Linked DNA regions of Mus musculus. The protein of the gene in region 2 purifies or fractionates together with the protein of the main gene of each other region. This does not show direct contact. Links are inferred from orthologs where the notes say so. Each region holds a gene or a part of one and is shown on either strand. Other genes may lie near its edges.

What was found.
Region 1: the proteins of Gnl2 (region 2) and Srpk2 purify together in Homo sapiens (affinity purification with mass spectrometry; 3 studies listed by BioGRID and IntAct, with this or other methods). This does not show direct contact. The link is inferred for Mus musculus from reciprocal best matches to the Homo sapiens genes GNL2 and SRPK2.

What each region holds. Positions count from the first base shown.
Region 1 is NC_000071.6:23,521,730-23,526,417, reverse strand, and holds part of Srpk2 (SRSF protein kinase 2), read left to right. Parts: intron 1-672; coding exon 673-922; intron 923-1,802; coding exon 1,803-2,270; intron 2,271-4,688. UniProt on the Homo sapiens protein: Serine/arginine-rich protein-specific kinase which specifically phosphorylates its substrates at serine residues located in regions rich in arginine/serine dipeptides, known as RS domains and is involved in the phosphorylation of SR splicing factors and the regulation of splicing.
Region 2 is NC_000070.6:125,028,076-125,033,397, forward strand, and holds the start of Gnl2 (nucleolar GTP-binding protein 2), read left to right. Parts: upstream 1-1,938; 5' UTR 1,939-2,055; coding exon 2,056-2,119; intron 2,120-5,322. UniProt on the Homo sapiens protein: GTPase that associates with pre-60S ribosomal subunits in the nucleolus and is required for their nuclear export and maturation.

The DNA of each region.
Region 1 (4,688 bases), on a different chromosome or scaffold from region 2:
CCATCAATTCTGTGATCCTGTCGAATCACTGAGCAGTTGGCTCGGAGGAGTAGTTCCAAGTGTGGTGAATTGTTACTTGTGTAGCTCTCCCCTGGACTTTGGGGTTGGGTTATGGCCTCTGAAGCTTGGCAGGCACTCGTTGCTAGGCTTTCTGAGACTTATGGCTGTAGCTTGAGGCTGACAAAACTGTGGCTTTTCCTTTTTTTGATTTTGATTTTTTTTTTTATATTATCTGCTTATTTCTGAAAGTTCATGGTATATTGGCTGTTGTTCACAGCTTGGTATCAGAGCCAAACTCAGATATAGTGCTGTTGGCACCCGTCTTGGCAGGTGTTTGTTTTTATTGTTAAGGAATAAAAATGACCCGATATAGTCAGCAGCAAGGATTGCTTGCAAGAGAAGATTCTCGCTCAAAGCCAGGTGTTTCACCATGCTCATCTCCTAGACTTTTCTCCTAGAAGTTAGGGAGGGTACTAACAGTCTGAGCCCAGCCCTCCCCTAAGGTGGCTCTTCTGGCTGGGTTAGTGAGCATAACTGTGTAGGTTGTAGGAAAGCACAGTTGGATTCACTATGTTACCAATACTTGAACTCCTGAATAGTGTTTTAAAGAGTGCTTTTCTGACCCATGGCATCACACTTCCACCTGACCCACACTTTCTTACCATGTTGTAGATAGGAAAAATATCTAAAAACAAAAAGAAAAAGCTGAAAAAGAAACAGAAGAGACAGGCTGAGTTGCTGGAGAAACGCCTACAGGAGATTGAGGAATTGGAGCGAGAAGCCGAAAGGAAAATCCTAGAGGAGAACATCACCTCTGCAGAAGCTTCCGGGGAGCAGCAGGATGGAGAGTACCAGCCGGAGGTGACACTGAAAGCAGCCGACTTAGAGGACACAACTGAGGAAGAGACAGCAAAGGATAATGGTCAGTACAGCTCGGAGCAGGAGGGAGGGCTGCTGGGTGTGTGGGAGCTGCACACAGGGCTCATCTCTGAGCCACAGAGTGCCTTAGAGCATCTGAGCTGCCACCGCCATTGGCACTAAGGACGGCTTTCTTGAGCTTCTCGGTGGAGATGGGGGCAGCAAAATATCTGCCAGGTGGATGCCAACATCTCAAAGTAGGCTTTGAGAGGGAAGGAGGATGTCTGAGAAACGTGTTAGTGCTGTGATGACCCTTTCTTCATTTTGTGATTAACCTTTTCCTAACTTTAATGCAGCACAGCTCTTATTCTAAAATGGCAGAAGAAAGGGTTAATGGCTGGAAAAATGGATCAGTAGTCTTGCAGAGGAACCAAGCTTGGTTCCCAGTACTAACAGTGTCAGGCTGTTCATAGCCACTTACAACTCCAGCTGTAAGGGGGTTCACACACTAAAGATCAGGTACAGTAAACATCTTCAAAAAAGAAAAAGAAGGGCTTGAAGTGAAAGTCCAGTTTTACTTGTAATTCCCCCTACCCCCCAGAGCTAACTTGTTCCTGATGAGAGGGCTCATTATTAAATGAGCAGAAACAAGATTTAGAAAGCTCCCTTGCCTTGGCAAACAAAAGACATGTTCTGAGGTCCGTTAGAAGTGGCTCCTAGCCAGGTGTGGTGCATGTGCAGGCCTTTGATCCTGGCACTTAGGAGGCAGAGACCGCCAGATCTCTGAGTTTGAGGACAGCCAGAGCTACACAGAGAAACCCTGTCTCAAAAAAAAAAAAACAACTAGAAAAGTATAAAAAAACGGGTCTCTTGGTATGAGGCCTAACTAGAACTACTTTGAAAGGAGAGCCATGACTCTTGATCTTACTCTCATCTTCTTTAAGGTGAAGTTGAAGACCAGGAAGAGAAAGAAGATGCAGAGAAGGAGAACGCGGAGAAGGATGAAGATGATGTTGAACAGGAACTTGCAAACTTAGACCCTACCTGGGTGGAGTCCCCGAAAGCCAATGGCCATATTGAAAATGGCCCGTTCTCACTGGAGCAGCAGCTGGAGGATGAAGAGGACGATGAAGATGACTGTGCAAATCCCGAGGAGTATAACCTCGATGAGCCAAATGCAGAGAGTGATTACACGTATAGCAGCTCCTATGAACAATTCAATGGTGAATTGCCAAATGGACAACATAAGACTTCAGAGTTTCCCACACCGTTGTTTTCTGGGCCCTTAGAACCTGTGGCCTGTGGCTCTGTGATTTCAGAGGGATCGCCACTTACCGAGCAGGAGGAAAGCAGTCCCTCCCATGACAGAAGCAGGACAGTTTCAGCCTCTAGTACTGGAGATTTGCCAAAAAGTAAGTGCCCTTTTGCATCTTTGTCTGCTTGCTCTGCTTGCTCTTTGGCAGACACTGTGAAGGGAGTGAGAGGGCAAGAGAAACCCTTACATTTTAATGCTTGTATATTCAAGAGAAAATACAATGCTTTAGACTATATCTGTCCTTTAGGCTTGCTCTTACTCTCTGAAATCCTATCCCTGGGCTTTCTTTATTTATTGTATATTTATTGAATGACATCATAGTTAAAATGCATTGCACCATTACCAAACTCATACCTTTCTAGACACCAATCCTCTTCTGGCTGGTAGTAGTAGTTTTGGGTTTTCTTTCTCTCTAAGGGAACACCTGTCTGCTTTCAGCTATACCAAGAGAGAACTTGTGTTTTATTAGATAGTTGACCTTGTTTATACAATTCTCCTTCCTTCCTTCCTTCCTTCCTTCCTTCCTTCCTTCCTTCCTTCCTTCCTTCCTTCCTTCCTTCCTTCCTTTCTTTCTTTCTCTTAAATATTTATTTATTATATATGTAAGTACACTGTAGCTGTCTTCAGACACTTCAGAAGAGGGAGTCAGATCTCATTAAGAATGGTTGTGAGGGGCTGGAGAGATGGCTCAGCGGTTACAAAGCACCGACTGTTCTTCCAGAGGTCCTGAGTTCAATTCCCAGCAACCACATGGTGGCTCACAAACATCTGTAATGGGATCTGGTGTGTCTGAAGACAGCTACAGTGTACTCATATATACATTAAATAAATAATTCTTAAAAAAAAAAAAAAAAAAAAGAATAGTTGTGAGCCACCATGTGGTTGCTGGGAATTGAACTCAGGACCTTCAGAAGAGCAGTCAGTGCCCTTAACCTCTGAGCCATCTCTCCAGCCCCAAATCCTGCTTTCTTTTTGTTTGTTTTGTTTTGTTTTGTTTTTTGTTTGTTTTTATAAACAGGGTTTCTCTGTGTAGCCCTGTCTCTCCTGGAGCTCACTCTGTAGACCATGCTGGCCTCAAACTCAGATCTGCCTGCCTCGACTTCCCAAGTGCTGGGATTAAAGGTATGTTACACATCTGTGTGTTTAAAACTGAAAAGAGCCGGGCGGTGGTGGCACATGCCTTTAATCCCAGCACTTGGGAGGCAGAGGTGGTAGATTTCTGAGTTCAAGGCCAGCCTGGTCTACAGAGTGAGTTCCAAGACAGCCAGGGTGACACAGAGAAGCCCTGTCTTAAAAAACCAAAAAAAAAAAAAAAAGTATGTGCATCGGTGTTTTGCCTGCATGTGTGTCTGTATGAGGACGTCAGATGCCCTGGAACTGGAATTACTGACAGTTGGAGCTGCTGTGTGGGTCCTGGGAATTGAATCCAGGTCCTCTAGAAGAACAGTAGATGCTCTCAACACTGAGACACCTCTCCAGTCCCAGAAAGAAATCCTCAGAGAGAGAGAGAATGAGAATTAATTTATAATTGTAATGAGTGAGTGAGGAAGTGCTATCTAACTTAGGCAATCTAAAATTCTAGTGCAGAGAGATTGCAGTCCTCATCATTTTCATGTAAAGAATGCTTGGGCACTGTGAGAGGTGAACTTATCTGTTGATCGGCAGGATGCTGTGTAGTTGCCTTGCCTGCTTTATCTTGGCAGAAGTAAGTGGACAACAACTCATGCTTGGGCTCTACTGTCTCCCCCGAGAGCCCTGGGCTTTCTTTTGCTGTTCAAGCTTGCTCTGCAGTCCCTTTGGGAAGTTACACATCTTACGTGTGCATTACCCTGGTTTCTGTTCTTACCTTATGCTTGGTGTGCTGAACTCTTCCTGTGTGCCCATGATTTCCATTGGCTTCCCTGGCATTGCTGGTTCAGTCCCTGTGTGGTCTAACTACTGAGTCCTAGCAGCAAGTGAATCCTGAGCAGGAAATGGAGTGAGCTGTGGTATGAGCTGCTGTGGGTGAAGCAGCAGTGTGCAGGGCCTCTCTGGGTCTTAGCTTCCACACTGCTGTCGTGAGTTGATTGTCATTGGCACTCTTCTTCTTTTCTATCATAGGCCCTGAGTTGTAGTTTTTGTCAGATGACAAGCCTGGCAAGTGAGAACCTTAGTTGAGGAATTGCTTTCATCAAGTAGGCCTGTAGGCATGGCTGTGGACGTGTTCTTAATGACTGATGTAAGATGGCTCACCTCACTGTGGGTGGTACCACCCCTGGGCAGGTGGTTCTGGCTGTATAAGAAAGGAAGTTAGGTAAACCATAGGGAAGAATTCAGTAAGAAGCATTCCTCTGTGGTCTTTGTTTCAGTTTCTGCCTCTGGGTTCCTGCTTGAGTCCCTTCCCTGATGTCCTTCAGTTGTGGTATATGATGTGGAAGTATTAGCCAAGTAACCGCTTTCCTCTTCCAAGTTGGTTTGATCAGTGTTTTATTGCAGCAATAGAAAGCAGTCTAGGGTCTGCCAGCCCTTGCTCAAA
Region 2 (5,322 bases):
TACTCAATCAGCATTTTTCTGGTCCTTCTCGAAGGCACACAGATAGGCACTCCTGTCAACTCAAGTCCCAACAGAAAAGGCACTTGGTTGAAATCTGGGAAACAGAATTCCCTGGGTCTCATGGGGCCCTTTAGACAAGAGGTACCCCCCCCCCACCTCTGTCCTTATTCATCCAAGAAAGATTTAGTAAGGCCTTATTTTATGTCAGATGCCTGTTCAAAGTGTTTTTAATTTTTAAGCCCAGGGGACCTTTACATACTTAACTGCACCTTTGTGACAGTCTCTCTCTCTCTCTCTCTCTCTCTCAAGATAATGTCTCAGAGGGCTGTGGTGGCACACCGCCACACTGGAAGTGGCACACACTTTAATCCCAGCACTCTGGAGGCCAGCATGGACTACAGAGTGAGTTCCAGGGCAGCTAGGGCTACAAAAAGGAACCCTATCTCAAAACACAAGCAAACAAACAAACAAAAAGATAATGTCTTTTTCTACAGTTTGGCTTGTATCTTCCTATATAGCCCAGGCTAGACTAGCCTTGAACTCACGGCAGATAGTCTAACCTCAAATGCTGAGGTTAGAGGCTCATGCCAACACACTCAGCTTTGTTACGTTCTGGGGACACGGAGGTGAATAACGTACCTGATTTCCATTTTCCTAAGCTTATGGCCTAGACCCAAGAAAGCAGCCAATGCTCTTGTGAACAGAGTCATTTCGGGTAGTGGCATGTGCCGTGAAGTGAGGTGGGATGGAATAACAGGAAGAGAGTGGCTGACTTAAATCAGTAACTCAGCAAATACTTCTGCCAAAGGAGCTGCTGCCAGATAGATCAAGAGAATGTAGTTCCATTTAAAAACAAGTGAACAGTGAAAAAAATCTTTTGGTGTAGGGTCTCTCTATGTAGCTCAAGCTGGATTTGAACTTGTGACAATCCTCCTGCCTTAGCCTCTCAAGTATATCATGTTTCCTTAGATCCTTTAAGTTATCCTAAACGATGATTGGAATATAAGCTAGAAAGTGTGTTTATTTATTTTTAACCTGAAATTCAAATTTCACTGTCTTGTATTTTTTTTCTTGATGTTCTCCTCCCCCCCTCCTGCTTCCCCCTCCTCCTCCTCCTCCCCCTCCTCCTGCTCCTACTCCTACTCCTCCACCTTCTTGGAGACAAGTCATGCTATATAATGTGGACAAGTCTGGAACTCCTTCCTCTGCCTTTTGAGCATTGGTATTATAGGTGTGTGTCACCATGCTGATGAATTTGCTAGTGTTTGCAATCCTATGGATAGAGGATATTTGAGCAGGAACTGACCAGAAGGAACCAGCGATGCCGATTCAGGGAATGTGTGATCAAACAGAGCAACATTCAGTGTAAATGTCAGAAGAGGGAGAAATGAGGTCAGAGGAACGGAGCCAGATCACAAGTTTTGTAGGGATTGGAAGGAGTTTGAATCTGTCTCTCTTTGCGATAATAAACCATTGGAGAATTTAAAATCTCTCTCTCTCTCTCTCTCTGTCTCTCTCTCTCTCTCTCTCTCTCTCTCTCTGTCTCTCTCTCTGTCTCTCTGTCTCTCTCTCTTTCTTTCAAGCTGAGGCTTGAATCCAAAGTCTGTTGTTACTAAAAACTGCTCTACTCCAGCCTAAAATTTAAAGGCAGGTATGACCTGTTCTGATATTTGCCCGCTCTTGCTGGAACACTTTTAGAAAGGTTCAGAGGGCAAATTCCCATCAGCTCATGCACTGGGCCGAGAACAGGCTTCTCTCTTTTTCTCTTTCTCTCTTTTTCTCACTAAACCCAGGACTGCCCGGTGCCCTGGACGTTGCTATGGAAGGGACGCTTGACGGTTGCTAGACCCGGGGGAGGCGGGAGCAGGACAGAGGCGGAGCCGGGTCAGCCTTAGGCAAGCGCCGCGCGCTCTCAGGAAGTCGCGTAGCGCGAGCGGAAGTGACGTCGCGCGTGTTCAGGGTCCAACGTGCTTCACACAGGACGCTTTCCCGGCTGGGAAGTCGTGAAGTGGTTTACCTCGCGAGTAGCAGAGCGGTGTCGGTACTGTCGTCAGGATGGTGAAGCCCAAGTACAAAGGACGGAGCACCATCAACCGCTCGGCGGCCAGCACCAACCCAGGTACGGCGGACCGGGCGGGACCAGGCCGCAGGAGCCGTCGGGGACGGAGGAAGGCCCGTTCCGGCCTGGGCGGCGGACCCGAGGTCTAGGCACCTGCTCTAAAGTTGGGGGATGAGTCACGCCAGCCTCTGGCAGCCCCGAGGCCTCTCAGGAGGAGGTGTAGAGAAAGGCAAGTTAAAAGTGGGCTAGGGTCCTGGAGTCCTGGCACATGCCTGTCATCCCAGCACTTAGGAAGCTGAGGCAGAGGGGATCACGAGTTAGTGGCTATCTGGACTACAGGGTACAGACTGAAGACACAGAGTGGAGTAGGTTGGCCCAGGTGGCATTTTACCCTTAACCATAGCATTCGTGCCACCTTAGCTTTGACCGTGGAATCAGACCATGCATAAGCAACACTTCAGGTAAATATAGTGATTTCAATAGAGGTGGTTTTGAGATACGAGAAATTCCCATCTACAGGGCAAACAAAACAGGCTTTCGAGGAGTCCCTCCCACTTTGATTTAGCTACTAAAACTGTGTTTAAATATGGGTTAGTCATAGAGGGGCTTGGTGACGCATCCCTGTAGTTCCCAATACTGGGAAGGCAGGACAGACAGATCTCTTGTGAATTCGAGGCCAGCCTGGTCTGCATAGTGAGACTGTCTCAAACTGGTGGGGGGAAAAATTAGGTATACTCTTGTCTCCGTAAGGCTGCAAGGATAGCTGACTTCTGTATCTCCTTGTAATTTGCATAATTAGGGTTTTGATTAGATTTTTTTAAAAAAATGATGAAAACACTCAGAGACTGGAGAGAACATGGGGAGAATAAGAGCTCACTCGTACTGCTGTTGCAGGAGGACCAGAGTTCAATTCCAGTTCAATCAGCTCTCACCTACCTGGAAGTTCAACTCCAAGGGGAATCTGATACCTCTGGCCTTCAAGGCATCTACCCACATATATCCGTATAATGTTTAGTACTGTGTATGTAGCAGTACTAAAGGAGAACATGCAGGAAAGTTGCTGCGTTACTTTGTGATCTTTTATAACTGTATTAAGTCACATAATACCATGCATTTGGAAGATTCACTTGGGATTGGTTGGTGATTAGTGTGATGATGTTTCTAAGCAGGGGTTAAGTTTATCAACAGCTGAAAAATGTAGACGGAAACCTTGAGGGTTGGTAGGAAGAGGGACTCAGGAAAAGGATAGGTAGCCAGATGTGTGTGGGCCGACTTCTCAGGAGAGCCCTCCAGGGGTTTAGTTTGATTTTGGGTTCTCTCTTAAAATTTAGAGTGGGAGGGGCTGGAGAGATGGCTCAGGGGTTAAGAACGCTGGCTGTTCTTGCAGGGGACCTGCAGTGATTCCCAGCACCCATGATACAGACGACCATCTATCTGTAACTCCAGTTCCAAGAGATCTGCCACCCACTTCTGGCCTTCACTGACACGCTGTGTGTGTTTAGTGCAGAGACATGTGGGCAGGATATGGTATTACATATTATACTTACATATGAAGTATAAATAAATAAAATTATTAAAAATTTAGGACAAGAGAATTAGTTATGAATTCACAAAGAGGGTTTCTAGATATGCTGCTTCTAACCTCAGAAGCTGTGGGAATCAGTCCTATAAGCCATGATTTGTGTGAAATTTAACCCAACTTTTAGAACCCATCATCATCTCTTGAAAGTTAAGACAGGTGGTGGCTCACATCTTTAATCCCAGTACCTGGGAGGCAGAGGCAGGTGGATCTCAGTGAGTTTGAGGCCAGCCTGGTCTACAGAGTGAGTTCCAGGACAGCCAGGGCTACACAGAGAAACCCTATCTTGAAAAACCAAACCAAAAAAAAAAAAGACTAAAAATATTTTCTTTTTAAAAATATTTATTTACTTTATATTTGAGTTTTGCCTACATAATATGTACACTCTGTTTGCTCCTATAGATGGTTGTGAGCCACCTTGTAGGTGCTGGGAATTAAACCCAGGTCCTCTGCAAAAATAGCAAGTTCTCTTAACTGCCAAACCATCTCTCTGGCCTACTCCTTTAATTTATTTTTAGATAGGGTCTCAGTTTGTTGCCTCTGACTCAACGTTTGGCCAAGGATATCTTCTAGCTTTTTTTTTTTTTTTTTTAAGATTTATTTTATATATATGAGTACACTGTAGCTTCTTCAGACACACCAAAAGAGGACATCAGATTCCATTACAGATGGTTGCAAGCCACCATGTGGTTGCTGGGAATTGAACTCAGGACCTACTGGAAAAGCAGTCAGTGCTCTTAATCACCGAGCCATCTCTCTAGTCCCTGTTTTCTAACTTCTAATCCTTGCTTCTAGTGCTGGAATTAGTGGCTGTGCCACAATGGCTGGTTTGTGCAGTGCTAGGGATCACACACAGGGCTTTGGAGTGCTAGGCAAGCATTCTACCCATTTAACTACATGGCTATTGTGGACATAGTAGTGGTTACACTTTTTAAAGATGGATATTGATTTTATGTAACCAATGTAGATTATGACTAAGGATTAAAAATTAAATGGCAGCCAGACATGGTGATGCACACATATTCCCTATTTTTAGAGAAATAAAAGCACCAGAAGTCTAAAAATTCAGTTTGTATAAGACTGAATGAGAACCTTAATGTTTGATATTCCAAAGTCCCTTTTACTTTCTTCATTCTGGAGCAAGGCAAGTTAAATGAGAAGAATAGCATTCCTATATGTCAGAATCTTGAGTTACGAGTTGTCTAGATGAATGTGCCTGAGTGTGCTGTAAAGTTGCCATGTGGGGCTCTTTATGCTGCTGCTCAGGATGGTCCTTGAAGTCCTTATTTAAGAAAGGGTTCAGAAGCCAGGCAGCGGTGGCGCACGCCTTTAATCCCAGCACTTGGGAGCAGAGACAGGAGGATTTCTGAGTTTGAGGTCAGCCAGGGCTACACAGAAAAACCCTGTCTACCAAAGAAAAGGGGGGGGGGTGTTCGGAGCTGTGCATGATGGCACATATCTTTTATCCCAGGAGCCAGAGGCAGATCTCTTGATATTGAAGTCAATCTGCTCTACAGAGTGAGTTCTAGAACAGCCAGGGCTACACAGAGAAACCTTGTCTTGAAAAACCAAAAAGGAGAGAGAGGTGGAGAAATATGAGGGGGATAGGGTGGGGTCTGTAGTACACTGCTTTATTTCCTCATGTCAAGACATAAGAGGCAGGCTAATCTATATGAGTTTAAGA